Linked DNA regions of Callithrix jacchus. The main gene of each other region encodes a partner of the protein of the gene in region 3 in a complex. Links are inferred from orthologs where the notes say so. Each region holds a gene or a part of one and is shown on either strand. Other genes may lie near its edges.

The links.
Region 1: EIF3I (region 3) and EIF3J share a complex: the UniProt entries of both Homo sapiens proteins name them as parts of the eukaryotic translation initiation factor 3 (eIF-3) complex. The link is inferred for Callithrix jacchus from reciprocal best matches to the Homo sapiens genes EIF3I and EIF3J.
Region 2: EIF3I (region 3) and EIF3D share a complex: the UniProt entries of both Homo sapiens proteins name them as parts of the eukaryotic translation initiation factor 3 (eIF-3) complex. The link is inferred for Callithrix jacchus from reciprocal best matches to the Homo sapiens genes EIF3I and EIF3D.
Region 4: EIF3I (region 3) and EIF3L share a complex: the UniProt entries of both Homo sapiens proteins name them as parts of the eukaryotic translation initiation factor 3 (eIF-3) complex. The link is inferred for Callithrix jacchus from reciprocal best matches to the Homo sapiens genes EIF3I and EIF3L.

What each region holds. Positions count from the first base shown.
Region 1 is NC_133509.1:32,259,602-32,267,531, forward strand, and holds the start of EIF3J (eukaryotic translation initiation factor 3 subunit J), read left to right. Parts: upstream 1-4,002; 5' UTR 4,003-4,091; coding exon 4,092-4,140; intron 4,141-4,230; coding exon 4,231-4,334; intron 4,335-7,930. UniProt on the Homo sapiens protein: Component of the eukaryotic translation initiation factor 3 (eIF-3) complex, which is required for several steps in the initiation of protein synthesis.
Region 2 is NC_133502.1:207,463,757-207,470,217, reverse strand, and holds the end of EIF3D (eukaryotic translation initiation factor 3 subunit D), read left to right. Parts: intron 1-2,951; coding exon 2,952-3,094; intron 3,095-3,480; coding exon 3,481-3,764; intron 3,765-4,171; coding exon 4,172-4,185; 3' UTR 4,186-4,314; downstream 4,315-6,461. UniProt on the Homo sapiens protein: mRNA cap-binding component of the eukaryotic translation initiation factor 3 (eIF-3) complex, a complex required for several steps in the initiation of protein synthesis of a specialized repertoire of mRNAs.
Region 3 is NC_133508.1:68,827,506-68,835,342, forward strand, and holds the start of EIF3I (eukaryotic translation initiation factor 3 subunit I), read left to right. Parts: upstream 1-3,368; 5' UTR 3,369-3,418; coding exon 3,419-3,421; intron 3,422-3,514; coding exon 3,515-3,607; intron 3,608-5,323; coding exon 5,324-5,411; intron 5,412-5,682; coding exon 5,683-5,748; intron 5,749-7,837. Other genes in the region: TMEM234 (transmembrane protein 234), read right to left, coding at 2,119-2,185, 2,842-2,993, 3,287-3,302. UniProt on the Homo sapiens protein: Component of the eukaryotic translation initiation factor 3 (eIF-3) complex, which is required for several steps in the initiation of protein synthesis.
Region 4 is NC_133502.1:208,876,880-208,884,009, forward strand, and holds part of EIF3L (eukaryotic translation initiation factor 3 subunit L), read left to right. Parts: intron 1-55; coding exon 56-227; intron 228-4,264; coding exon 4,265-4,419; intron 4,420-6,171; coding exon 6,172-6,342; intron 6,343-7,130. UniProt on the Homo sapiens protein: Component of the eukaryotic translation initiation factor 3 (eIF-3) complex, which is required for several steps in the initiation of protein synthesis.

The DNA.
Region 1 (7,930 bases), on a different chromosome or scaffold from region 3:
CCCTGCCCCCTAACCTATACACAATAAATACTCATGCTTCTGGACATTCGGGCCCTCGCCTGACTCTGCTTATAGGTGGTGTGGCCCCCCAAGCCCAGCTGCGTTTTTCTTGTACTTCCGTGTCCTTTCTCTTTATATTTCTCGGATCCTGCGCCTCAGCACAGCATAAGGCTCACCCCACGACCCTGTGGGGCCATCAGCCCTACATCTGACCTTTAGATATTTCTCAAATTGGTTTCTTCTTATCCATTGTCATTGCCTTAATTTAGGCTTTTGTTCTCATTTAATTAATTCATAAAATACTTAAGTATTAGGCACTATGCCAAATATTGGAGTTACAATTGTGAGTAAGATAGATTGTGTCCCTAGGGACTTAAATTCCATCCTTTTCTTGCCTTCTTTCTTGCGTCCTTCCAGTTCACTTTTTTTTTGGTCATGTCACCTTGATGCCCAGGCTGGAGTGCAGTGGCCAGAACGTGGGCAACCTCCACTACCTCAGCCTCCTGAGTAGCTGGGACCACAGGACCACAGGTGCACACTACTACGCCTCGCTATTTTTTTTTTTTGTAGAGATGGGGGTCTCCCCATGTTGACCAGGCTGGTCTTGAACTCCTGGGCTTAAGCGATCCTCCCCGTTCTGTCTCCCAGAGTGCCATGGTTACACATATAAGCCACTGTGCCTGACTCCAATCCACCTTTTTAATGGCTGCCTGTAGATCATGGCCTCTCACATTTTTTTTTTTTAGGCTGCAGGCACATGCCACCATGCCAGGGTTGTGGGTAACACCCCCTATGCGCACCAAGGAAGAATTGTCCAGACCCCAAGCACAGTTAGTGTCTGAAGAATATCTTAGTTTATAGAGTTATTACTCAGCTATTTCCTTTATATAATCCTTTATATATAATCATATATTAGTTTCTAGAATTAGTACCTGAGGTATAACTTACTGCTTACATATACCTAGCTTATATAATCATACTTAATACTTATATCTAGCATACTTAGTTCTATATAATCTTTCTTTTCTTTCTTTTTTTTTTTAATTTAATTTTTTAACAAGAAAAGATGGGGTTTCACCATCATGGCCAGGCTGGTCTTGAACTCCTGACCTCAGGTGATCCACGCACCTCAGCCTCCCAAAGTGCTAGGATTACAGGGGTGAGCCACCACGCCCACCTATATAATCTTTCTATACTCATATAGGTATTGTAGTCAGAGCTGTACTGACATTTAGTACTGATTTATAGAATCCTTCTATATAACCATATAGTAGTTTGTAGTAGGAGGAATGCCTAGAGCAGTCACATAACAGAAGCAGTACATGGGAAAACAGCCAGACCAGGACAAGAACCAAAGACCCAGGGGGTGGCGTCCCTGCCTGAAACGGCATACATTGTATGGCAGGCTTGGAGCAAGAGCCTCTCCTCCTGATAAAGGAGTTGTAGTACCTTGCATCCAGTTCCTGTGGAAAGTAGGCCTCAGGACTGAGAAAATAACTGAGGGAGAACCCCTCTGGTGTGACCAGTCATGGCAGCTGTACACCCTGTCAGTCTTTTCTCACTTCTGTGCTAGCTCAAATCATCCTCCCATAAATATCTTAAGAGAAGAGCACAAGTCTGTCAGCTCCCACTGCATTGGCTTACAGTATCCTTCTATTAGAAATCCTTTGAGGTCTCCAGCCCCCAGAAAAGAAATGTTGTGCATGACACCTGTCACACACAGCCCACCTCCTTGCCTTGGTGACCTAATGGGGGTGGACCCCTTTTCTGTACACGACCCTCTACTACTGTAGAGGCCCCCTACTTCTCACAGCCCACCCCTCTGCCCAAGTGACATAATGGGGTGGCCCCCTCACTTGTGACTCATGTGATTATGTATGCCCTATTACTAAGCCTATAGATGATGACCTCACTCATGACCCTGCCCTCTGCTTGTACCTAATAAATACAGATGCTTCTGGGCATTTGGGACCTCCGCTGATCTCCACTCACAGGTGGCATGGCCCCCAAAGTCCAGATGCTCTTCACCAGTGTCCTGTCTCTTTGCTTCTTGGATCCTGCACCTCAGCACAGCATAAGGGTCACCACGACCCTGTGGGGCCCAACAGCCCTACAGGGGTAACTTTTGTATTTTTAGTAGAGACAGGTTTTCTCCCCATTGGCCAGGCTGGTCTCAAACTCCTGACCTCAGGTGATCCACCCGCTTCGGCCTCCTGAAGTGCTGGGATTACAGGTATGAGACACTGGGCCCGGCCGAAGGACCATCTTTATAAAATGTTTATTTGTAGACTCTGAAAAGATACACCAGAAAAGGGGAACAATGGTTACAGCTAGAAAGAACAGAGTGAAGCGGCTGATAATTGTACCTTGTTGGTTTTTTTTTTTTTGAGACGGAGTTTCGCTTTTGTTACCCAGGATGGCGTGCAATGGCGCGATCTTGGCTCACCGCAACCTCCGCCTTCTGGGTTCAGGCAATTCTCCTGCCTCAGCCTCCTGAGTAGCTGGGATTACAGGTACACACCACCATGCCCAGCTAAATTTTTGTATTTTTAGTAGAGATGGGGTTTCACCTTGTTGACCATGATGGTCTCGATCTTTTGACCTCGTGATCCACCCGCCTCGGCCTCCCAAAGTGCTGGGATTATAGGCTTGAGCCACCGCGCCCGGCAATTTTGGTATTTTTAGTAGAGACGGGGTTTCACCATATTGGTCAGGTTGGTCTGGAACTCCGACCTCAAGTGATCTGCTCGCCTCAGCCTCCAGAAGTGCTGGGATTACAGGCGTGACGCACCGCATCCTGCCCCCGTATCTACCTTTTCATCACACGAATGTTGTACTAAGTTCCTGTATTACATATTTGAAAATAAATTGCGAATACAACAAAACAAAATCCATGAAATGGCTAGCCCTTTAAATTTCTGCGGGGGAGCCCAGTGTGGCCCAAGGGCGGAGTTTAGCCCATCTTGCCCTTTCTGGTTAGTGTACCCGTTCCGTTTATCTCCGACTGCGCCAGTCAGTCAGGTCAGGGACCACTGGAGTTTTTTCTATAGGACACGCACTTGAGCAAATGTCACTTGCTCTCTCCAACTTCAGTTTCGCTAGCGCCTACCTCAGGAAGCCTCCCCTCATCTCCCGGCCCCTGCCGCCGCTAATGTTATCCTTTTACATTCAACCTCATAATGCTGCTTTCTGTTGCAATCACAGTGTCGAAATTTATTCACATGTCTATCTTTGCTACTTGACTGAGGACAAAGATACACCTTATACCTAGCGTAGACTCAGGAGGTCCGAAATTGTTCTGCGAAAGAAAAAAAATGTGCTGGCTTCAAAGGGGCTCACAGGAAGGGAAAAGCCTGGAAGACTGAGACTCTCTTCGATCCCTTCATTACTAACGCAAGGCAAACATGCCAGGGACATGCGGCTCTCCCCTCTAGTTCCTGCATCTACGTCCGACGCCCGCCGTATTGTCTCGGAAGTCCGGCCACAGCCCCCACCGGCGGGCATGGCCTCAGAGCCCTCTTCTGAGTGCGGCATGGGTATTCGCCGGCGGCCATGGACGGTGATCACACTGACGAGAGGGACGGCGCACCCTCGGGTCTGAGCGGGGTAGGCGTTGGCAGGGGAGGGGCGACGAAGACTGGCGAGGTTCAGGCGCCAGGCAAAGGACCGCTCTATTAACTTCCCGGCACTTAGGTTTCCTGCTCGGGGCCGAGAGTCTGCAACCTTTCTCCCCGCTCCACGAAGTCCAGTACTAACCTGCGTCGTAGGGACCTGCACGTCGTACCCAGAATTCCTATGCCCCCTGCGCCCTCTCTCCGCTCCTCCTTGCGCTCCTCCCTGCGGCCTTCCCTCCGCCCCTTCCTGCACCCCTCCATCCGCCCCTCCGCGCCGCCGACCGCGGTCTACGCCCCCTTCTTGCCTGCGCGCGTCGCCGCAGCCTCCTGAGGGGGCGTGGCCTCAGCTCGGCGCCCGGTCAGCCACGGTCCCAGCCTGCTTCGCGCTGGCCAACGAGAGCAAACCCAGTGACTCACCTCCGCGGCGCTAAGTCCTCCCTAGCTCTCCGCCTCATACACGCTCACACCCGGCTCGAGATGGCGGCGGCGGCGGCGGCGGCGGCCGGGGGGGACTCCGACTCCTGGGGTGAGGAGAAGTTCCGGGGGCAGGGCCCGCCCGGGCTGTTGCCGACCCCACGCTGTGGCAGGCACTAACGCGGCTTGCTCTCTTCCGTAGACGCGGACGCATTCTCCGTGGAAGACCCAGTGCGGAAGGTTGGGGGCGGCGGCACTGCCGGCGGGGACCGCTGGGAAGGCGAGGACGAAGACGAGGACGTCAAGGTGGGTGCGGGCTAGGGCAGCGGGGAGCGCAGGAGCGGTTTGACGCTGTCGCTGGCCGACTATGGGCCCTGGGGGGCCGACTATGGGCCCTGGGGCGCCGCCCGGGCCTGCGGGCTGTGGATCCAGCCGCGAGCCTAGGGCCCGGCGATGCTCTCTTTACCTCCGCTTGCCGGCCATGTGGGCCGAAGACTGGCAGCGTGGCCTTCCGGACTCTCTCGCCGGTTGAGGGTCTGCGCTCCGGCCTTTATCTCACCTGCCGGCTGGCGACGAAAAGTGACAGCATCGGCCTGGTCGGCCCACGTGCAAGCTTCGCGGTCCCGAGCCTCTCGCCTGAATGAGACCGGGAAGTTGGGAATTGAGCCCCGTAGCTTATCCATATGGAAAGTTTTGAAACTCGCCTGCTTTTTCGAGCTCAGGTCATCCCAGGGCCAGTAACTCATTTGTGACCCTGACGTCTACTTATACAGTTTGTTCGAGGGATTAAATGAGTGAAATACTGTAGTTGAATTTCAACCTTTTTTCCCCCCACACTGGACAGCTAAAACAGTAAAGTGAAATAACTTTTGGCTCTTCCTTCCCCCACTCTGTGATAAAAAGGATGAACTGAACACTGAGCCCACAGTTAGTGGACAGAAACCTGGGTAGTCCACACCGTGACCCGAAAAATGGGAAAGATGACAGTTACTCATAGACATATGTATGACACCTAAGGAAATATTGAAGGTTTGGTGGTTGTAGTAGATGACTGTCCTGTGGTTTTTGTTGTTGTTTTGTCTATGCCTTGTAGATAATAATTTTTACCTCAGTCGTTTGATTTTGAAAACTCCGAAGGGCTCATTATACAGCATTAAGTGACATTTACTTCTGCGAGTGTTTTGTTTTTTTGTTTCTTTTTTTAACAGTAGTTACAGGTCTCAAGTCCAGAATGTTAAGTTTCTTACTGGGTTCTCAAAATCTTGTTATGTTTGTGCAGATAAAGTTTTGTGTGAAATGGAAAATTTTCTTTTGTGGTTTTGCTTAATTTAGTGAAGTTTTTTCTCCCAATTTATAAGCACTAATGAAGAACGCTACAAATCCTTTGCCTCCGCTGAAAATTTAAGCTAGATAATCACTATGAACTTAATAGGGCTGTTGCTTTGAGTTTTTCCCATTTCTCCCCAGTCAGATGAGGTTGGATGTGTGGATGTCCAACTTATTGACAGCCTAGGTTCAAGAACGTTGTAAGCTTTGCACACATTGAAGTTAATAAATCGACTGATTATTGTTTGAAAGCACTTAGATGCTTTATTTACATGTTGTAGAAACATGGGACTAGACTGTGTTACCAACCTCATTAAAGATAGTAGTTACCCCCCTACATTGTAGCAATTTTCACTTTTGAGTCTTGGGTTCATATTGATCCTTTCATTTTTTTTCCGTGCATATAGGAAGTAACAGTTAAGACGTCTATTATGAAATTTGGGAATAAATTAGCAAATGCAGAGAAAAGATTAGAGATATTAGGAAAGAAGTTGCAGAAAATGAAGTTTTAGTGGAATGGTCTAGACTAATGTCATGGAATAACCTCCCTGGGATTAAGGAATCTAAGTGGTGTTGATCCTGATGAATATAATTCTGATGACTTGCAACAAGTTTGGAGATTTAGAAGTTATAAGGGACCACAAAGATCATCTTGTCCAATTGCTCTTTTAGTCCTAAATTTCTTTTTTTTTTTTAATTTAAGCGAATTGCATCTATCTATCTATCTGTGTCTGTCTATCTATCTAATCCTTTGAGACAAGGTCTTACTCTGTTGCCCAGGCGGGAGTGCAGTGGCTTGATCTCTGCTCACTGCAACCTCCGCCTCCCAGGTTGAAGTGATTTTCCAACCTCAGCCTTCCTAGTAGCTGGGATTACAGGTGTGTGCCACGGTGCCCAGCTAATTTTTGCTTTTTTTTTTTTTTTGTAGAGTCAAGGTTTCGCTGTGTTGCATAGGCTCGTCTCAGATTCCTGAGCTCAAAGTGATCTGCCCGCCTTCACCTTCAAAGTGCTGGGATTACAGATGTGAGCCACTGTGCCTGGCCTATTTATTTCGAGGGGTTATGAGACTGGCTAATTTTTGTGTTTTTGGTAGAGATAGGGTTTCCCGATGTTGCCCAAGCTGGTCTTGAACTTTTGCGCTCAAGTGATCTATCCTCTTAGGCCTCCCAGAGAGCTGGGGTTATAGGCATGAGCCGCCACACCTGGCCATATCACCAAATTTCTGAATTCTTATGTTTTTGTACTTTTTGTGAGGAGCTGCAGACAAGGCTTAGTTTCCATGAGGTCTTCTGTTTATGTCAAAAGTACTTAACCTTTAAAAATACAGGTTTACTGTCATTTGTAATGTCCTGGGAAATGAAAGGAAAACTGATGTCTTTGTTATTATAATTTGCTCCAGCATTTTATTATCATTTAGTAGACCTAGTATTTTGCTGTTCTTGACTTTTCAAATAGCTATCTGGCAGTGGCAGAAGTAGACTTAGGTGAAACTGTACAACTGTTAATATATATGGAGGGAAAAGGCTATACTTTTTCCCAGTTAAAAAGATGAGAACTTGGGAGCAGACTTTTCCATCACCCTGGCTTTATTTACCTTTTTTACCATCCTGATAGTTGTGAAGAGGCAATGGAAAGAATTGTTCACTTGGCATATATGACTCCTTCCCCATTGCTGATATGATATGTAGGATGTGTTGACTGAGAAGGCAGTGAGTACCTACTGGAAGCAAAGACAACATAACTTTTACTCTATTTTACTAGTCTCCCAGCATGTTAGAAGCTACACTTATTCAAAGAGTGCGGCATTTGGAGAAACTTATAGCTATATTCAGCCATCTCAGGCATTTGCTTCTGTAACCTTACAGCATTTCTTTTAAAAGAACATGAAGAGGCTGAGGCAAGAGGATTGCTTGAACCTAGGAGTTTGAAGCCAGCCTGGGCAATGTGGCAAGAGCCCAACACATTTAAAGAGAGAGCGATCCTAAGGAACAGACTTAGTTGAGTCTGTCTCATCCTACTTGTTCACCCTCTGTTAGGATCCTATTCTAATAAATAGTTTAAATCTACCAGATAAGGACATTTTTCAAGTGTTGGAAACAACTTCTGAAGAACAGGATCTGTAATTTTTTTTTTTTTGAGGTGGAGTCTGACTCTGTTGCTAGGCTGGAGTGCAGTGGCGCGTTCTCGACTTACTGCAACCTTTGCCTCCCTGGTTCAAGCAATTCTCTTGCCTCAGCCCCCTGAGCAGCTGGGACTACAGGTGTGTGCCACCATGCCCAGCTAATTTTTGTATTTTTAGTAGAAACGGGGTTTCACCATGTTGGCCAAGATTGTCTTGATCTCCTGATCTCATGATCTGCCCGCCTCAGCCTCCCAAAGTGCTGGGATTACAGGTGTGAGCCACCGCACCTGGCCAACAGGAGCTGTTTTACAGAAATGTGAAATTACTCAGAAGGTGGGCATTTTGCCAGAAAATGGGTATTTTGAAGAGAGTGAGTGTATGTATGTGTGTGTGTAACTTACAGAAAATTTCAAACATGCAGTAGAAACATTTAATAAGTCAGTGACCAATCTTG
Region 2 (6,461 bases), on a different chromosome or scaffold from region 3:
TCAGAATTGACTCTTCAGGGGCACCTTGAAAGAAACATGCTTCCTTCAATTTTCCTCCTCTTTCCATTCCCCCCTCCTCATGCTCTTGCTCCATGGTAGGAGGGCCGTTATCCTGTCTCAAGTCACCCAGCCTTACGTGCCACATCAGAATTGAAGTAGGTGGCAGTGCTCTTGGGTGCTCTAAAGGGCACTCTGGGAAGGGCAGCTCCAAGGCCCAGCCTGTGTTGGATAAGTCTTTCTGAGATGTAGTGCAGGGGGCCATTCCGTTCAGCCTGTCTTAGAGCCAAGGGAGTAGCATGGACTGCTGCTGAGTCTCATCCCCAGGGGTTTCTTACCCCCCATCACCTGTTGACAGAGTACACTGGAAGGTTTGTTGAGACCTGGCTCTGGGGCCTGTGGCCTTTTCTTGTACTTTTCCCGGTGAGCTCCCCACAGCATTCGGGGTCGTCGTTCCGTGTCGCTTTGCCCTCCGTGTTACTGTGCCCTCCGTGTTACTGTGCTGCTCGTGTCTCAGCCGTTTCTCTGTTCCCTTCGCGTGCTGTCTTTGCTGGCACCCCTCCTTGATCCCAGTGGAGTCAGCTGTACAGCTCCCTTTGCCATAAGTACCTCTTTGTTACACAGCTTTGTATTGATTTTCTTTTGCTCTATGACAAATTAACAGAAACTTAGTGATCTAACAGTGCCGATTTGTTAGCTCACGTTTTATAGGCTAGAATTTATAGGGCTGTGTGCTTGGTTCTTGTATTAGTCCATTCTCACACTGCTATAAAGAAATGCCTGAGAGTGGGTAATTTATAAAGAGGTTGAATTGGCTCACAGTTCTGCAGGCTGTACCGGAAGCATGGCTGTGGAGGCCTCAGGAACTTGCCATGGTGACAGAAAGCAAAGGAGAGGCAGGCACATCTACCATGGCCAGGGCAGGAGAAAGAGAGAGGCGGAAGTTGCTATACACTTTTAAACAACCAGACCTCTCGAGAACTCTACCACGAGACCAGCACCAAAGGGGGAAATCCGCCCCCGTGATCCAGTCCCCTCCTGCCATGCTTCTCCTCCAACATTGGGGATTACAGTTTGATAAGAGATTTGGGTGGGGACACAAATCCAAACAAGGCAGAAATCACAGTATCAGGAAAACTGAGTTCTCATCTAAAGGTTCTGGAAGAAAAGCCACTTCCAAGCCCATTCTCGTGCTTCAGGTCTCTGGCTTTCTCTGTGTCTGACCTTTACACCTAAATTTAAGAGACTCATACAGGCCAGGCGTGATAGCTCATGCATATAATCACAACACGTTGGGAGTCCAAGGCGGGTCAGTCACTTGAGGTCGGGTGTTCAAGACCAGCCTGACCAACATGGAGAAACCCCATCTCTACCAAAAATACAAAATTAGCCAGACTTTGGTGGCACATGCCTGTAATCTCATAGAGTTAGGTGAGGCCCAGCCAGGTAGTGTATATTAAGGTTAACTGATTTGGGGCCTTACATCTGCACAATCCCTTTTGACATAAAAGGTAGCATAATCATGAGGGTAATATTTGATCCTAGCCATAGGTTCTGCCCACAGTCAAGGGGAGGAGATTCTGTAAGGGCAAGGGTCACTGGGGGTCATTTTAGAATTCTGCCCACCACAAGCTTCAACTATAAACTCGTTGAAAATAATTTCTCAAATCTCCTCTAATTTATTAGACTTCCCATTGTTGTTCTGCTAAAACACCTTCCCCTTCCATTTGTCCTCAGTCTCATCATTGCCTCTGGGTCCGCTGTCCATCAACGTTGTCTTTCTCCTACCTAAGCTCTGAGCCTCCAACATCTCCAGCTCCTTTTTTACATTCTTCTGTTTCGGTGTTAGCAAAGTAGAATGCTTTGCTGTCTTCTGACTCAGTCCTGGATTTCACTGACCATCACCCTAGTTCAGGGCCCCATTCATCATGCCTGTTTGGCATTTGTCTCCTAACTGACCTCTCTACCGCCACCCAACTTCTATATTTGATTTATCTCTGCCAATCATTTGTCCAGTACACAGCTTCATCAGCAGTGCAGATTGGTAGAAGGACTCTCTAAAGTGCTTCAGCAAGCTGCATGCAGTGGTATGCACTTACAGTCCCAGCTACTCGGGAGGCTGAGGTGGGAGGATAGCGCTGAGGTGACATCGTGAAACCCCATCTCAAAAAACTGCCACAGCAAACTCACAGGGGTGCTGCAGGATATTTTAAATTTTTTAGGGAAACATAGAGACGTCTTGTCAGAGTACTACTATGTGGTTCGAACCTAGCTAAATAAAAGGAATTCTTGAGTATTTCTTTTGCCCTGTGGTTGCCATGAACCAAGGAAGTTTGGGAATCTCTGTCCTGTGACCTTTGACCAGTCATTTCACTCTGGGTTCAATTTCCCACGTCTAAATGATATGGGTAGAAAAGAGGATCTCTCTGGGGTCCCTTTCTACTGTGTGTGTGTATAAAATGTCAGGCTCAGCTTTGCACCCTCTGCGGGCTGCCACCCCCATCTAAGGCCGACTCCACCTATCTTTCCTATCCCAACATGCCTCTCAGATCAGGGCCTCCTGTCTGCAGCTGCACTTTTGCCAATATTCTCCATTTGGCTCACTGTTACACATCCTCTGTGAAGCCCTTCCTTACTATGCAACACAGAGTAAAACCTCTGCTGTTCATATGGCACTTCTAAAGTGCATGCCTATGTCCGTGTGTCCATCATTACCTGTCTAGGTGAGCTTTTAGAAGACAGGAATTGTAAGTTGTTGAGTGCCTGCTATGTGACAGGCTGTGCAAGGGAAGGGACCAGGTCTTTGTCTCTTAAATGATAACAGCCTGGTTTAGTGTGTACCTACCCACTTCCTAAGCAAGCAGACAGGGGAGTTCCTTCTCTGCCAGAGGAGGTCCCAGCGCCTTGAGCATTCGGAGCTCGCTTCTGCTTCTCTAACTGGGGCTCTCCTGCAGCACTGTAACGGCGTTGACTGGCGTCAGAAGCTGGACTCTCAGCGAGGGGCCGTCATTGCCACGGAGCTGAAGAACAACAGCTACAAGTTGGCCCGGTGGACCTGCTGTGCTTTGCTGGCTGGATCTGAGTACCTTAAGCTTGGGTGAGATCGCTGTGCAGGAGCTGGGAGCTGATCTTGTGAAAGGACGGCTCTGGGTAGAGAGGTGACCCTCCCCTCCCCATGTACTGGAAAACTGATTGGCAGAGATAGACACAGGGGTTGGGAAAACTGATTGGCAGAGATAGACACAGGGGTTGGGTAGAGATGGAGGGGTCAGTTAGGAGGCAAATGCCAAACAACAGGCATGCTGAGTGGAGTCCTGAACTAGGCACTGGTGTCAGTGAAATCCAGAACTGAACCAGAGACTGAGTTTTCCATTTCCCTTGAAAATAGCAGTGGACCAGGTATCACCACTTAATTGACATTGGAGCCCAAGTGTTGCTGTCTCTGTGCCGCCTTGCTCTGACCACTGATATCCCTTCCCCCAGTTATGTGTCTCGGTACCATGTGAAAGACTCCTCACGCCACGTCATCCTGGGTACCCAGCAGTTCAAGCCTAATGAGTTTGCCAGCCAGATCAACCTGAGCGTGGAGAATGCCTGGGGCATCCTGCGCTGCGTTATCGACATCTGCATGAAGCTGGAGGAGGGCAAATACCTCATCCTCAAGGACCCCAACAAACAGGTCATCCGCGTCTACAGCCTCCCCGATGGCACCTTCAGCTCTGATGAAGACGAGGAGGAAGAGGAGGAGGAGGAAGAGGAAGAAGAAGGTGTGCAGCAACCCACTTTCTGAGGTCTAGAGTGGTCTGTGAGCTAGTGAGGGAGCAAGCTCTGTGGCCATTGTGATCTTTAACCTTGATAAAAACTGAGAATTCCAAGGCTTACATAGGGAGAAGCATTCACTTTGGCTCCAAGAGCTTCTTCCGGAGCCTTCAGATCACATTAAGTGGTTGGGGAGGATAGTGGTGTTTTAGAGAAGTGGCCGGATTGCGGCAGAGGTGGAGAAAGATGATGCAAGTCCCTGATGGAAGCCGGTGGTCTAGAGGGAAAAGGTCCTCTTCGGGTTAGTTATATAGCCTCAAAGTTGTCTCTCCTGCTCCACCAGCTGGTGACCAAAGGAAAGTGAACGGCGTATCCCACAACTTGGCTCATTTCTCTTACATTTTTTGTCTTTCAGAGGAAGAAACTTAAACCAGTGACGTGGAGCTGGAGTTTGTCCTTCCACCCAGACTTCGATGGCCTTTGATGCGTAGTGGAATGTTGTCTAACTTGCTCTCTGACGTTTAGCAGATGAAATAAAATATACATGTTTAGTCTCTCCTTCATCGCATGCCTGCAGTAACAATTTCCAGTCCTTTCTTCAAAGATTCCTGGCAGAGTGCGGATGAGATCCCGCAATTTCCATCCGGAATTCAGAATCTGGGTGTCATCATTTGTTATAAGAAGCCCATTTCCACAAGCAGGAGTGCCTGCTGGCCGTGTGCGAGAGCCTGCTGTTGCTTTTGGAGAGTTCGCTGGAGGAACTGGAGTGCAGAGCACTAGTACAATGCGAAGCAGAGCATGGATGAGGTGGTCTGCTGCGGGGAGCTTGATGGATGTCCAATCATGGATAATGATTGTAATGGCTTGTAAGTTGATTTTTTGTTTGCTTGAGGTGGAGTGTCATGCTCTTGCCCAGGCTGGAGTGCAGTGGCACGGTCTCAGCTCACTGCAACCTCCACCTCCCGGGTTCAAGCAATTCTCCTGCCTCAGTCTCCTGAGTAGCTGGGACTACAAGCACACGCCCATGCCTGGCTAATTTTGTATTTTTAGTAGAAACGGGGTTTCACCATATTGGTCAGGGTAGTCTCAAACTTCGTGACCTCAAGCAATTCACCCACCTTGGCCTCCCAAAATACTGGGATTACAGGCGTGAGCCACCGTGCCTGGCCAGGATGTGTAAACTTTTATATAGTGGACACTGTTCTGTTCTGGACACTTTATGGAGTAATTACCCTGTCAGGTATTATGCTGAGCTTTCTGTAGTAGCTAAGCCTCATGCAGAACTGTACTGCTGGCAGGAGTAATACCATTAAATTATAGAGGTGGGGAAACAGCTGGGCGTGGTGGCTCAAGCCTCTAATCCCCAGCACTTTGGGAAGCTGAGGCAGAAGGATCAATTTAGCTCAGGAGTTTGAGACCAGCCTGGGTAACATAAGGAGAACAGGGCCTGTCTCTACAAAAAAATAAAATACTAGCTAGTCATAGTGCTTCCACCTGTGGTCCCAGCTACTCAGGAGACTGAGGTGGGATTGTTTGAGCCCAGGAGTAAGGCTGCAGCGAGCTATGATCACACCACTACACTCCAGCCTGAGTGACAGAAGGAGACCCTTTATCCAAAAAAAAAAAAACAAAAACGCCAGGTGCAGTGGCTCTTGCCTGTAATCCCAATACTTTGGGAGGCTGAGGCAGGCAGATCACCTGAGGTCAGGAGTTTAAGACCAGGCTGAGCAACATAGCAAAACTCCGTCTCTACTAAAAATACAAAAATCAGTCAGGCAGCCAGGCATTGTGGCTCATGCCCTTAATCCCAATACTTTAGGAGGCAGAAGGGGGCTGATCACAAGGTCAGGCGTTCGAGACCAGCCTGGCCAATATGTGAAACTCCATCTCTACTAAAAATACAAAATAGTTAACCAGGGGTGGTGGCAGGTGCCTGTAATCCTAGCTACTCAAAAGACTGAGGCAAGAGAATTGCTTGAACCTGGGAGGCAGAGGTTGTAGTAAACCAAGATTGCGCTACTGTACTCCAGCCTGGGCAACAGAGTGAGTGAGACTCCAGCTCAAAAAAAAAAAAAAAAAAAACTGCTTGTAATTCCAGCTACTTGAGAGGCTGAGGCCATAGAATCACTTGAACCCCGGAGGTGTAGGTTGCAGCGAACCGAGATCACACCACTGCTCTCCAGACTGGGTGACAGAGGTTGTCTCAAAAAAAGCTCAGCATTTCTTTTGTTTTGTGTTTTGTTTTGAGACAGAGTTTCACTCTGTCACCCAGGCTGGAGTGCACTGGTGCGATCTCGGCTCACTGCAACCTCCCCCTCCTGGGTTCGAGCGATTCTCCTGCCCCAGCCTCCTGAGTAGCTGAGATTACAGATGCTCACCACCACACCCAGCCAATTTTTGTATGTTTAGTAGAGATGGGGTTTCACCATGTTGACCAGGCTGGTCTTGAACTCCTGACCTCAGGTGATCCACCCACCTAGGCCTCCCAAAGTGCTGGGATTACAGGCATGAGTCACCAAGCCCGGCCCAAAACTCAGCATTTCTAAAGTTACGTGTGTGTTTGTGTGTTTCTGTTTTTAAAAAAAAAAAACTAGCTCAAAAAAACACTGAAACTAATTTTAATGAAAAGAATCGACCCTCAGGAAGGAAGCAAAAGGTTTCTTGAACTGTTTCAGAAGCAGTGGAGAGAAAGAAGTGTACCTGGG
Region 3 (7,837 bases):
GAAGTGCAGTGGTGAGGTCACTGTTCACTGCAGCCTCAACCTCCTGAGCTCAAGTGATCCTCCCACCTCAGCCTCCTGAGCAGCTGGGACTACAGGCACAGACGACCAAGCTCGGGTAATTTTTGTATTTTTGTTGTTGTTACTTAGGCTGGGCTCCTAGGCTCAGGTTATCTGCCCACCTGAGCCTCCCAAAGTGCTGGAATTACAGGCCTGAGCCACTGTGCCTTGCCCAGAGCTGCCTTCTTAAGTTTACATACCTTACAAGGAGTGTCATGGCTGTTAAGGTCTGGTTTGCAGCAGTAGATGAGGGAAGGAAGCAGCATGGTGCAATGGGAGAGTGAGGGCATCAGAGTGAGGCAGATCTGAGTTTCCCTTGTAATCTTGGTTAGGATATTCAAACACTTACCTTGTTTCCCCACATGTAAAATAGTGATCGCAGTATACCATTTCTTTTGTTGGGTTGTTGTAAGATGAACTGTGATAATGCATGGATAGTCCCTGGCTAAAGTGGATGCTTCATAAATAGTGACTATTATTCTGGTTATTAGAAAGGATGGATATTCAAGGATATAGGCAGAGAGGGTGATGAAATAAAAAGATCCTAATATTGTAATGTGATTAAAACTTGGTGAATGGCTGACTTGTAGTCAGCTGGCCAAGAGTTCAGCATTTTTCCACAGCAGTGAATGCATGAGCCCAGAGGCTTTCAAATTCTTTTTTTTTTTTTTTTCAGACAAGAGTTTTGCTCTTGTCGTCCAGGCTGTAGTACACTTGCGGTGATCTCAGCTCACCGCAAGCTCCGCCTCCTGGGTTCAAGCGATTCTCCTGCCTCGGCCTCCGAGTAGCTGGGATTACAGGCATGCACCACCATGCCCAGCTAATATTGTATATATATATTTTTTTAGTAGAGATGGGGTTTCACCATGTTGGCCAGGATGGTATTGATCTCCTGAACTCATGATCTGCCTGCCTTGACCTCCCAAAGTGCTGGGATTACAGGCATGAGCCACCATGCCCGGCCAAGCCACCAAGCCTGGACTGCAACTTCATTTTCTAAGATAAAGGAAATTTATGTATATGGAGCCCTGTGCGCCAGGCACTCTCCTAGATGTTTTTCATTCATTCATTTCTTTTTTTTTTTGAGATGAAGTCTTTCTAGAGATAGAACCAGTAAGTTACAAAGGAAAAAAAAAAGGAGAAAAAAAGATGATGTCTCGCTCTGTCGCCCAGGCTGGAGTGCAATGGCGTGATCTTAGCTCACTGCAACCTCCACCTCCTGGGTTCAGACGATTCTTCTGATTCTTCTGCCTCAGCTTCCTGGTAGTGGGGATCACAGGTGCACCACCACGACGCCTGGCTATTTTTAAAAAATTTTTAGTAGAGATAGGTTTCACCATGTTAGCCAGGCTGATCTTGAACTCCTGACCTTGTGATCCTCCCACCTCAGCCTCCCAAAGTGCTGGGATTAAATTTAATCCTCACAATCCTATGAAACCAACTGTATAAAACCAAAGCTCAGGCTGGGTGTGGTGGCTCACACCTGTAATCCCAGCACTACTAAAAATACAAAAAGAAAAAAAAAAAAAAACCACCTCTACAAAATTACAAAATTAGCTGGGCATGGTGGCGCATGCCTGTAATCCCAGCTACTTGGGAGGCTGAGGCAGGAGAATCACTTGAACCCGGGAGGCGGAGATTGCAGTGAGCTGAGATAGTGCCATTGCACTCCAGCCTGGTCCACAAGAGTGACACTGTCTCAAAAAACAAAAACAAACAAAAAACCAAAGCTCAAATGAGGGACTTGCTCATGGTCAGGCAGGTAGCACAGAGTGGAACCAAGAGTGTGAAAGCCAGCACTTGGCACAGCAGAATGAACCTTCCTTCTTCGTCCGCTGTCACACAAGACTGCCAGGCTTCAAACCAACCCCAGTGCCTAGCAACATACTCAGAACCAGCCCACTGTGCCCTTCTTGTTCAGAGAAGAGGACACTAGGAGGGAACTAAGACTAGTCAGCCCTCTCTGACTGATGGGAATGAGGTGTTTCAAGCTCCACCCAACAAATCACTCTTCCAGGTGGCCTCAAACACTAAGCAGAACAGTTCCAAGCCAGGACCCACCTGTCGATGCCAAGGTGAGGTAATAGAGAAGAGAGCCACACTGGTTGAGGAGAAAGGGCATCAGGTACTGGAAAGAGGAGAAACCTGCATCAGTGTGAAGGCCTGAATGAGCAGCACTGCCTTCTTTGAGCTTCTAGCCTATGCCTTTTCTTAGAGGGAGTGAGGGTTATAAGACCCAGAGAACATTAGGCCCTCTAAGGAGGACCCTTCCAGGACAAAGAGGGAAACAGACTGAACTCTGTGCCTCTGCTCAAACTTCCCTCTCCCTCACCTCTGTTGGTTCCTATCCTGCAAGGCCCTGAGACCAATGTCAGCCCCTCCAGGAAGCCTTCCCCAAGTCCTCCATATACAGCCTCCCTCCTCTGAACTCCTCCCCTGCAGGGCCAATTTGAGCCCCAAGCCCTCCCTCTGGAAAGGCTCACAAATGTTGCCTTTCATAACTGGAGGAATCACAATAATAAAATATGAACAATGGTAGCCATAGATAGAGCACTTACTATGTTCTAGGCCCAATGCTAAGTGCTCTGTGTATCTCACCTAATTCCCGCAACTGCCCTATCAGATGTTTATTATTATAATCGCCATTTACAGATGATGAAACTGAAGGACAAGTGACTCTGGAGAGTTTCTAGTAAGTAGTGGGGCTGACACAGACCTGTTTGACCCCAAAGACCAAATTCTTGGCGGCAACTCCCCTTTGAGAGGGGACTTTCACAGACGCACCTCAATATTCAAGAAGAGGGTCTTCATCTCCTGTAGCAACTGTCGGGCCCAGGTCGGCTCATGAATCCGCTGCAGGCCTGCAGAGGCTCGCTTCAGCAGCGGCTGCGTGCCACCCCACAGAGCGGCCACCAGCACCAGAGCCAGCACCTGCCCTGAATGCAGACGACTGAGTCACCCTGATCCCCACCCCAAACGGCCGCCCCGTCCGCTCCGCCCGCTCCAGGCTTCCTATCCCCAGCTAGCCGACCCCACTTCCCTCCTTCGCTCTCTTAGCTTCGGCTGCGACTGGCGGCTAGGGAAGGCCCCGGGAGGCTGGGGAGATGAATCCAGGAGTCCGGCTCTGGGGTTGTAGCAGGGATTGGGGTTGGAGCGGGGGACGTGGAGCAGGAAATGAATTCGAAGTGAGGGTCGAGAAATCCATGAAGGGGCGGGGCCGGCTACCTACCCAGAGACGCCGCCATGGTAACGCTGCTGTCTTCTACTTCCGGGAGCGAGGGGGCGGAGACCCACAATCCGGAAGTGGTTCCAAAGCCTTTTCCGGTACTACTCACGTTGCGGCCTTCGTGTCATCGCCGGGATGGTGAGTTCCAGAGTTGGGGATACTGCAGTGGGGGTCCTGGTCTGAGGCCGGTACCCAATTCTGGGCACTGACGTTACCGTCTTGTCCCCACAGAAGCCGATCCTGCTGCAGGGCCATGAGCGGTCCATTACGCAGATTAAGTATAACCGCGAAGGAGACCTTCTCTTTACTGTGGCCAAGGACCCTGTGAGCGTCGGCTGAAAGGAGGGCTCGGGAGGGGGCCCGGAAGGGGCGAGTTCCTTATGCCAGGACCTTCCTTAGGAAGATGGGTGGACATGCCAGTTTTGCCGATTGGGGGAATCAAAGAAACGGCCCATTTTGAGATGTAGGGAGAAGACATCCCGGGGGTAGGTTGGGAGAGTACCGGACAAAGTGGGGGAGCACTCGTTTGGCCGAGTGCAGTGGCTCACGCCTGTAATCCCAACACTTTGTGAGGCTGAGGGGAGGATCGCTTGAGCCCAGGAGTTAGAGACCAGCCTGAGCAACATAGTGGGACCCATATCTACACACACAAAAATTAGCCTGATGTGGTGGCTCGAGCATCTGGGCTCAGCTACTTCGAAGTCTGAAACGAGTGGATCACTTGAACCTGGTGAGCTGAGATCGTGCCACTGCACCCCAAGAAAAGCCAGGGACCACTGTGGAAAGGGGATGAGGATGAGGGTCAAGCTTGCCCAGAGAACGGGATGCGACCTTTCAGGGGATGATCTAACCTTTTAACCAGGATAGGTGCAGGATGTGTTATTCAGACACAGGGGATTTAACTGAGGGTGTCTCTACTCTCATTTTCAGTCAATCCCATTCTGCTACTCAATGCAAAACAGTCCCTTGTGATACTGCCTTTTGAGGCACCTCCATATGGAGGAAGTTAACTAGTGGTTAAAAGTGGGGACTCTGAAGTCAGACAGACCTGATGTGAATCCTGCCTCCAACATCTACTACTACTAGCAGTGTGATTTTGAGTATGTTACTTAACCTTTCTAAACTGCAGTTTCCCTTTTTTTTTTTTTTTGAGACAGAGTTTCGCTCTTTTTACCCAGGCTGGAGTGCAATGGCGCGATCTCGGCTCACCGCAACCTCCGCCTCCTGGGTTCAAGCAATTCTCCTGAGTAGCTGGGACTACAGGCGTGCGCCACCATGCCCAGCTAATTTTTTGTATTTTTAGTAGAGACGGGGTTTCACCATGTTGACCAGGATGGTTTCGATCTCTTGACCTCGTGATCCACCCGCCTCGGCCTCCCAAAGCGCTGGGATTACAGGTGTGAGCCACTGCGCCCAGCCTGCAGTTTCCCTTTTTATAAAACTGGATACTTACAGGATTGTCTTTAGCATTAAATGAGATAATGAAAGGAGCTTGGCAGAGCACCTATACATTTCAGTGCCTAATGAATGTTAGTCACTTACATTTTAAATTCCTTAGACATTATTTTATTGGAGCCTCACAGCTACCTATTGAAGAAAAAATTATTGTCCTGGCCATTTTCAAGATGAGAAAACTGAAGTTCAGAGTAGAGAAGCACTGTTTTTGAGATCATACAGTGAAACAGTGGCAGAGCAGGCACTGGAACCCAGTCTTCCCTACTACCAACTGCTCCCACTTAAAGATACTGTTTTTCTAGACTGGAGCTCAACTTGGCCTTTTACTCTTTGGAGCCATTGGGAGTTCCAGGAGAGCTGTGGCTATGAGGATGCTTTTGCAAAGCGCCTGACTTCTCTGGTGCTTATCTTCAGGAAGGGAGGAGAATCCAGGAGTTGGTCTTTTTACCAGCTTCCTGCTATTTCCCAAGAAATGAGGAGAAGAGGGCAGAATCAGCCTGGTTTTGGCTGCTGAGGGTTCTTGGGGCAAAATAGGAAGCCATTGCTTTACTGGGACATGTATCATCCTGTGTTTGACTTTTCCAGATCGTCAATGTATGGTACTCTGTGAATGGTGAGAGGTTGGGCACCTACATGGGCCATACTGGAGCTGTGTGGTGTGTGGACGCTGACTGTATCCTTCTTTTGGGTCTGAATCCGTGCTGCCAGGGTCTGCCAGCAATGGAGAGGCTGAGTTGGAAGTTGGGAGTTGGGGGTGCTGTTGAGGGCCTACAGAATGATATCTCCTACTCCCTGGACTCTTCACTGGTTGAGGAAACATTCAGGACAAGTTCCAGTTCTGGATAAGGAGGTAAGGGGGGAAGAAGGGCTCTTTCGGGCTGAACAGGGAGATGAGAGGACAAGGGCTCAGGTGAACTTTGTCACGCTTCTTAACAACTCTTCAGGGGACACCAAGCATGTCCTCACTGGCTCAGCTGACAACAGCTGTCGTCTCTGGGACTGCGAAACAGGTAATCTGGGTTCATTCACTTTTTTAGCAAATATTGAGGACCTACAGTGTAAACAGGTCCTAGGAAAACAGATGAAATCTATAGATAGTTTTCAGTCTAGGGAATAAGAGACAAGATAATAAGAAAGATGAGAAAAGAAGCCTTACGGTAAGATATACGCCATGATGGAGGAAGCATAGATTACTATGGGAGGCCAGAGCCAGGCAACTGACTCCCTGGAGTGGGGATGGGAGCAGCCTGGGAAGTTTCCTAAGGTAAATCATATGAGCTGGGCTTAAAGGATGAGAAAAGATGTCATCACAGCTGGGCTTGGTAGCTCACACCTGTAATCCCAGCACTTTGGGAGGTGGAGGCGGGCAGATCACCTAAGGTCGGGAGTTCGAGACCAGCCTGACCAACATGGAGAAACCCCGTCTCTAGTAAAAATACAAAATTAAAAAAAAATGAGCCAGGTTCGGTGGCTCACGCCTATAATCCCAGCACTTTGGGAGGCTGAGGTGGGCGGATCACCAGGTCAGGAGTTCAAGACCAGCCTGGCCAACATGGTGAAACCCTGTCTCTACTAATAGAAAAATTAGCTGGGTGTGATGGGGCGCACCTGTAATCCCAGCTACTCAGGAGGCTGAGGCAGGAGAATCACTCAAACCCGGAAGGTGGAGGTTGCAGTGAGATGAGATCGTGCTACTTACACTGCACTCCAGCCTGGGCGACAGAGCAAGACTCCATCTTAAAAAAAAAAAAATTTTTTTTTAGGCTGACTCTGGGCATGCTGCCTATGAGTTAGCCCTGCTCTGCAAGAAGCTTTAAAAAAAAAAAATTCTGGCCAGGCATGGTGGCTCACCCCTGTAATCCAAGCGCTTTGGAAACCAAGGCAGGCAGATCACCTGAGGTTGGGAGTTCAAGACCAGCCTGACCAACATGGTGAAACCCCATCTTTTTCTTTTTTTTTGAGACGGAGTTTTGCTCTCGTTACCCAGGCTGGAGTGCAGTGGAGTGATCTTGGCTCACCGCAACCTCCGCCTCCTGGGTTCAGGCAATTCTCCTGCCTCAGCCTCCCGAGTAGCTGGGACTACAGGCGTGCTCCACCATGCCCAGCTAATTTTTGTATTTTTAGTAGAGACGGGGTTTTACCATGTTGACCAGGATGGTCTTGATCTCTTGACCTCGTGATCCACCCGCCTCAGCCTCCCAAAGTGCTGGGATTATAGGCGTGAGCCACCGTGCCCAGCCGAAACCCCATCTTAAAAAAAAAGAAAAAAAAAATTCTGGAATAGCTGGACCAGACCATGTTCACTTCTCTTTAAAAACAATGAAAATATAAAAATAAGCTGGCACGGTGCCTCATGTCTGTAATCTTAGCACTTTGGTAGGCCGAGGTGGGCAGATCACCTGAACTCAGGAGTTCAAGACCAGCCTAACCAACATGGTAAAACCCCATCTCTACTAAAAAATAAATAAATAAAAATAAAAATAAAACTTAGCTGGGTGTGGTGGTGCATGCCTGTAATCGAAGCTACTCGAGAGGCTGAGGCAGGAGAATCATTTGAACCCGGGAGGTGGAGATTGCAGTGAGCTGGGATCGCACCATTGCACTCTAGCCAGGGCAACAAGAGCGAGACTCTCTCAAAAAAAAAGAAAAAATAGTAAAGATGTCATCACTTTGGCACATGCAGGAGTGAAAGTGTGGAGAGTGTCTGTACAAGTCATCTAATCTAGCTGGAATTCCTGCTTCTTGGTGGAGTGGGGGTAGGGGGGTGATATACATAGTCATGGAAAAGATGAGGCTGGAGAGTCAGGCTAAGGCCAGAACAGGTCTTGAATGCCAAATTCAGGAGTTTGGCTTTGTTCTGTAGAATGTGGCAGGCTGTGGAGGTCCCTGAGCAGGCAAGAGTGTAGGTCTGTTTAGTTTTAGCAAGGTCAGAGAGCAGTGGGAGGTACAGGAAGAGCCAAGACTGAAGACGGGAGCCTGTTAAGGTAGGTTTTTTTGTTTTTTTTTTTTTTTTGAGACGGAGTTTTGTTCTTATTGCCCAGACTGGAGTGCAATGGCGTGATCTTGCTCACTGCGACCTCCACCTCCTGGGATCAAGTG
Region 4 (7,130 bases), on a different chromosome or scaffold from region 3:
GGGGACGATCACTGTGGGCTCATACCACTACCGTGTGTTTCCTTCCTACTCACAGTTCCAGTCCTTCAGTCAGTACCGCTGCAAGACTGCCAAGAAGTCAGAGGAGGAGATTGACTTCCTTCGTTCCAATCCCAAAATCTGGAATGTTCACAGTGTCCTGAATGTCCTTCATTCCCTAGTAGACAAATCCAACATCAACCGACAGTTGGAGGTATACACAAGCGGAGGTGAGCACAGCAGGCTGACAGCCGCTACCTATGAATTTCCAGCTGCTTGCCATCTGTTCCAAAGGAATAGATACTGCAGGTAGAGCAGGCGAGTCACCACGTCTTAGGCAACGGGCTGTTGACTCTTCCTAGGTGCTTGAGTACGAACAGCAGCAGAGTGTTCATGCTGGGGGCTGTGGGGCTTGGGAGTCTGTTGGCCAAAAAACTGAACCAGCACATTGAGATTTGCATTTGTAAACATTTCTACTGTGTCTGCAGCGCTTTTGTTTAGATAAGCACTTCTCACACGTGTTAGTGTCAGAGCCCATTTTAGCCTGTTAAAATATTGAGAACCCCAAAATGTATATTAAAAAAAAAATGGGGGACTGGGCCCGATGGCTCATGCCTGTAATCCCAACACTTTGGGAGTCTGAGGCGGGAGGATCATAAGGTCAGGAGTTTGAGACCATCCTGGCCAACGTGGTAAAACCCCATCTCTACTAAAAATATAAAAATTAGGCATGGCGGCATGTGCTTGTAATCCCAGCTACTCAGGAGGCTGAGGCAGGAGAATCACTTGAAACCAGGGAGGCGGAGGTTGCAGTTAGCCGAGATCATGCCACTGCACTCCAGCCTGGCAACAGAACAAGACTCCATCTCAAAAAAAAAATTTTTTTTTTCGGCCAGTCATGCTGGCTCACGCCTAGCCTGAGGACTTTGGGAGTCTGAGGAAGGCGGATCACAAGGTCAGGAGTTCAAGACCAGCCTGGCCAACGTGGCAAAACCCTGTCTCTACTTAAAAAATATAAAAATTAGCCAGGTGTGGTGACTCGTGCCTGTAATTCCAGCTGCTTGGGAGATTGAGGAAGAATTGCTGGAACCTGGGAGGTGGAGGTTGCAGTGAGCCAAGATTGCACCATTGCACTCCAACCCAGGACAACACCAAGACTGTCTCAAAAAAAATTTTTTTTTCAGTAAAGAGCGACATTTTTGTAGATCTCTCTGTGGCTGGCTTCATGCAAAATACCTGGCCTCTCATGTCTGCTTCTGCATTCAATCTGTTGCAGTGTGCACTTTGGTTTGAAGCACAGAAAGCTCACGCTTGTAATCCCAACACTTTGGAGGCTGAGGCAGGCGGAGCACATGAGGTCAGGAGTTCAAGAACAGCCTGGCCAACATGGTGAAACCCCATCTTTACTAAAAATATAAAAAATTAGCTGGGTGTGGTGGCGGGTGCCTATAATCCCAGCTACTCGGGAGGCTGAGGCAGGAGAATAGCTTGAACCCAGGAGGCGGAGGTTTCAGTGAGCCAGTCGCACTACTACACTCCAGCCTGGGTGACAGAGTGAGACTCTGTCTGAAAAAAAAAAAAAGATAGGCATATGCAGGTATTAAAAAATGCAAAATCCAAAAGGCTTCTGGTCACAAGCATTTATAGAATACTCACCCTGTACTACTTTGGAATAACCAGTGGCAGTTTCATACACATTAGGTGCAGTGAGGAATCTGAGGCTGTGTTAGTGAACTTTTCCTTCGTTACATATACATATATGTATATATATTTGAGATGGAGTCTCACTCTGTCATCAAGCTGGAGTGCAGTGGCATGATCTCCACTCTCTGCCATCTCCACGTCCTGGGTTTAAGTGATTCTCCTGCCTCAGCCTCCCGAGTAACTGGGAATACAGGCACACGCCGCCACTCCCAGCTCGTTTTTGTATTTTTTCAGCAGAGATGGGGTTTCACGATGTTGGTTCAGTATGGTCTCCATCTCTTGACCTCGTGATCTGCCCCCTCTGCTTCCCAAAGTTCCTGGGATTACAGGCGCGAGCCACCCTGCCTGGCTTTCCTTTGTTATATTAACGTTGTTGATTACTCCTATAATTTGAATGAGTTTCTTAAATCCGTGTCGTCCGCGTGTGGTTTTTTTTTTCCCTCTGAGACAGAGTCTGCTCTTTCAGCCAGGCAGAGTGCAGTGGCATGATCTCAGCTCATTGCAACCTCCATCTCCTGGGCTCAAGTGATTCTTGACAATTTGGTGTCGCTGCCTCATCCTCCCGGGTAGCTGGGATTACAGGCATGCATCACCATGCCCGGCTGATTTTTATATTTTTAGTAGAGACAAGGTTTCACACACTGGTCAGGCTAGTCTCGAATTCCTGTGCTCAAGTGATCTGCCTGCCACAACCTCCCGAAGTGCTGGGATTTGTGTGATTCTTTAAAAAAATACTGGATCACTGAGTTACAAAGATCTTCCAAATGTTGACACATTTTATTACATCTTTTTAAAAAGTCACATTTGTTACTTTGCCACTGATATCAGCTGAACATTTATTCATAAGCTGTAGAGCTTGTAGTGGCAGATAAGAGTTGTTTTTTTGTTTTGTTTTGTTTTTGAGACGGAGTTTCGCTCCTTACCCAGGCTGGAGTGCAGTGGCGCGATCTCGGCTCACCGCAACCTCCGCCTCCTGGGTTCAGGCAATTCTCCCACCTCAGCCTCCTGAGTAGCTGAGATTACAGGCACGAGCCACCATGCCCAGCTAATTTTTTGTGTTTTTAGTAGAGACGGGGTTTCACCATGTTGACCAGGATGGTCTCGATCTCTTGACCTCATGATCCACCCACCTCGGCCTCCCAAAGTGCTGGGATTATAGGCATGAGCCACCGCGCCCGGCCCAAGAGTTTTACAAAATTCCATTTTTGCTTAAAAGCTTGAATTTTTTTTATTTTTAGATGAGGTCTTACTCTGTCATCCAGGCTGAAGTGTGGACCACAGGTGTGCACCACCATACCTGGCTGATTTTTTTTTTTTTTAGTAGAAATAAGTTCTCACTTTGTTTCCCAGGCTGATCTCGAACTCATGGGATTATAGGAGTGAGCCACTGAGCTCAACCTTTGAATTTTTTTATTGTTAGCAAACACTGTCAGTTCTTTTCATTGAGGTGTGACAAGTTTACTTCATTTTTTATTTTTGTGAAAATGTCTGCCAGAGTTGGTATCAGTTATCTCTTTTTTTTGAGATGGAGTCTTGCTCAGGCTTGAGTGGTGCAGTGGCACAATCTCTGCTCACTGCAACCTCTGCTTCCTGGGTTCGAGCGATTCTCCTGCCTCACCCTCTTCAGTAGCTGGGACTATCGGCATGCACCACCACACCCGGCTAATATTCATAGTTTTAGTAGAGACGGGGCTTCACCATGTTGGCCAGGCTGGTCTCAAACTCCAGACCTCAAGTGATCCACTGGCCTCGACTTCCCAAAGTGCTGGGATTACAGGTGTGAGCTGTGCTCAGCTCTTATCAGTTGTTCTTTCAAGTGAAAATGGTACTCCATGAAAAAAGGATTTTTTTCTTTTTCTCTCTCTTTTTTTTTTTTTTTTCTTTTTTGAACAGGGTCTCTCTCTGTCACCCAGGCCAGAATGCAATAGCCCTTTTATAGCTCTCTGTCTCCAAAAAGTACAAACTCTGGTTATTCAGATGTGGTACCTGGGCTAAGTACATCCTCCCACCTCAGCCTCCCAAGTAGCTGGGATTACAGGCGCAAGCCACCATGCCTGGCTAAGGACAAGTTCTTCTAGTGCCAGTGCATAGCAAGGAACAGTATAATGACTATTGGTACAATTTGGTGTCACTGTCTGATTTGTGCTTAAGTTGAAAGTAGTTTTACCTAGCTGATATTGCATCATGCAGATGTCAACTCAGTGGGAAGGGCTAATAGCATCTTAGTGTTATTAGGAAAATAGCTTTGCCCTTGTGTACACCTGAAGGGAGGGGTCTTGGTGGGTATATGTTACTGAGGAGGGGGGCCTTCTCATGTGTTGGGACCAAAAATAAAAAATAAAAAGCAAAATGAACTGCCACCCTGAAGGCAACTATTGGTAAATTTAAGTAGCATAAGGTTGGTTTTGCTGTTTCTTGGTATTCCTTTGAAGTTATTCCCAACCGAGGGAAGCTTTCAAGGCTGGCAGCTGCTGAGATATCTGCTGAGTAACATTCATAGGTCAGGTCTGCCTTCCTTTACTTTCCTCCTACCAGAGTATTCACGGTGTCCTGTCTCTTTCAGGTGACCCCGAGAGTGTGGCTGGGGAGTATGGGCGGCACTCCCTCTACAAGATGCTTGGTTACTTCAGCCTGGTGGGGCTTCTCCGCCTGCACTCCCTGTTGGGGGATTACTACCAGGCCATCAAGGTGCTGGAGAACATCGAACTGAACAAAAAGGTGATGCGTACTGCCTCTGGCCCCTCTTGTCGGAGCCAGAATGTCTATTTCTAGAGAACCACTCTGCTCTCTTAGGACAGATTTCTAGGAGAGGAGAGGACTCTTCCCTCAGGCCATTGAAAGTTGAGACTAAGCTGAGCATGGTGGCTCATGCCTGTAATTCCAACACTTTGGAAGGCCAAGGCGGGCAGATCACAAGGTCAGGAGCTGGAGACCAGCCTGTCCAACATGGTGAAACTCAGTTTCTACTAAAAAATGCAAAAGTTAGGCCGGGTCCAGTGGCTCTTGCCTGTAATCCCAGCACTTTGGGAGGCTGAGGCAGGCGAATCATGAGGTCAGGTATTTGAGCCTAGCCCGTCAAACATGGTGAAACCCGGTCTCTACTAAAAATACAGAAAATTAGCTGGGTATGGTGGCGGGCACTTGTAATCTCAGCGACTCTGGAGGCTGAGGCATGAGAATCACTTGAACCCAGAAGGTGGAGGTTGCGGTGAGCTGAGATCGTGCTACTGTACTCCAGCCTGGGTGACAGAGTGACACTTTGTCTCAAAAAAAGAAAAAAATTGAGACTACAACTGGGCAAATGAGTGGTAAAAAGCTGTACCTGGACGATATCGGTAGTAAATGACAGTTTTTTATTCTGTTTTTTTTTTTTTGAGATGGAGTTTCACTCTTGTTACCCAGGCTGGAGTGCAATGGCGCGATCTCGGCTCACCACAACCTCCGCCTCCTGGGTTCAGGCAATTCTCCTTGCCTCAGCCTCCTGAGTAGCTGGGATTACAGGCACGCGCCACCATGCCCAGCTAATTTTTTGTATCTTTAGTAGAGACGGGGTTTCACCATTTTAACCAGGATGGTCTTGATCTGTTGACCTCATGATCCACCCGCCTTGGCCTCCCAAAGTGCTGGGATTACAGGCTTGAGCCACCCGGCCCTATTCTGTTTTCAAAATGGAATGATAGTGGCAGCTTTTTACTCTTCACATTTTGCTGATCTTTGAATTAGGAAGACTGGGTGTGGCTTCTCACGCCCTTAATCCCAGCACTTTGGGAGGCTGAGGCACGTGGATCACTTGAGGTCAGGAGCTCGAGACCAGCCTAGCCAACATGGCAAAACTCTGTCTCTACTAAAAATACAAAAAAAATTAGCTGGGCTTGGTGGCAGGCACCTGTAATCCCAGCTACTCAGGAGGCTGAGGTAGGAGAATCACTTGAACCCAGGAGGCAGAGGTTGCGATGAGCTGAGATTGCTCCATTGCACTGCAGCCTAAGTGATAAAGCAAGACTCTTTCTCAAAAAAAGAATAAAGAAAAAATTTAATTCTTAGATAGTATGTTCACTGATTAGCTGTTGTGTTCTTCCTATCACAGAACAGTATTACAGATACTTACTATTTGGTGGTGGGCTCATGTGCATGTATGTGTTTCTGTCTTAACTGTCTGTTCCTTTATAGGACTTACTTGAAAAAGCAAGGAAAAACAACAAAACTGAGAGGTATAGCATTTTAGAGCTCAAAGAGATTTTATGGATTCCTCATCCAGAACCTTCTTGTTACAGCTAAGAAAATGGATTCCTCAAAACATACAACTTAATTTGTGAATAGGAAGATCCATTCTCAAACTCTGGGACTCCAGAGCTTCCTCTGGGTAGTTCAGGGCCTCTGCGGGGAAAGCTTTTCTCTTGGTGTTTCTGCCTCTGGTTCTGTCCAGGATGAATTGGCACTCATGGATGTTTGTTCCATCTCCTTCTGCAGAGTATGTATTCCCGTGTTCCAGAGTGCCAGGTCACCACGTACTATTATGTTGGATTTGCATATTTGATGATGCGTCGCTACCAGGATGCCATCCGGGTCTTTGCCAACATCCTCCTCTATATCCAGAGGACCAAGAGCATGTTCCAGAGGACCACATATAAGTATGAGATGGTAAGGGGCACTCTGCCTGCCACTAGTGGCCTTTCTACTCGGCTGACTCCTTGGCATCTATGCCAACCATTCTTGGTAAAGACCATCCAAAATACAGTTTTAATTAAGCCAGGAGTTAAGGCTGTAGAGCACTCTATACGATTGTGCCTACCAATGGATCACCCACCTGGAGTGCAGTGGCGCAGTCACAGCTCACTTCAGCCTCAACCTCCTGGGATCAGGTGATCCTCCTACCTCGGCCCTCCAAGTAGCTGGGGCTACAGCCACATACAACCACACCAGATAATTTTTCTTTTTTTTTTTCCCAAAGTGATACATATATTTTTGAGACGAATTCTCTTTCTGTTGCTCAGGCTGGAGCACAGTGGCGTGATCTCAGCTCACTGTAACCTCCACCTCCTGGGTTCAAGTGATGATCCAGCCTCAGCCTCCTGAGTAGCTGGGACTTATATTTGTGTATGTAAACAGAAAAGATACAATAAAAGTACGGCATTATGATCTTGTAGGGTCAGCATCCTATATGTGGCCCTTGGCCCGTGGTTGACTAAAACGTTGTTGCGTGGCACGTGCACATGTAGGCATCAAGGTTGCATCAAACGTTTTGGGTAACTTGATCCTAACTGGTGTAAAAGGACTGACCTGCTAGTGATGTGTGGGGCAAACTGGAGACACTAAGAGGTACTAGTAAGGAATCCAGAAGATGGCTAAGGAGGATTTGGAGCTAGGATGGAAGTTCAGTAGATCTAGAAATAAGACTGGAAGAGATGTTGGGGAAGTTTAGTGGCTGA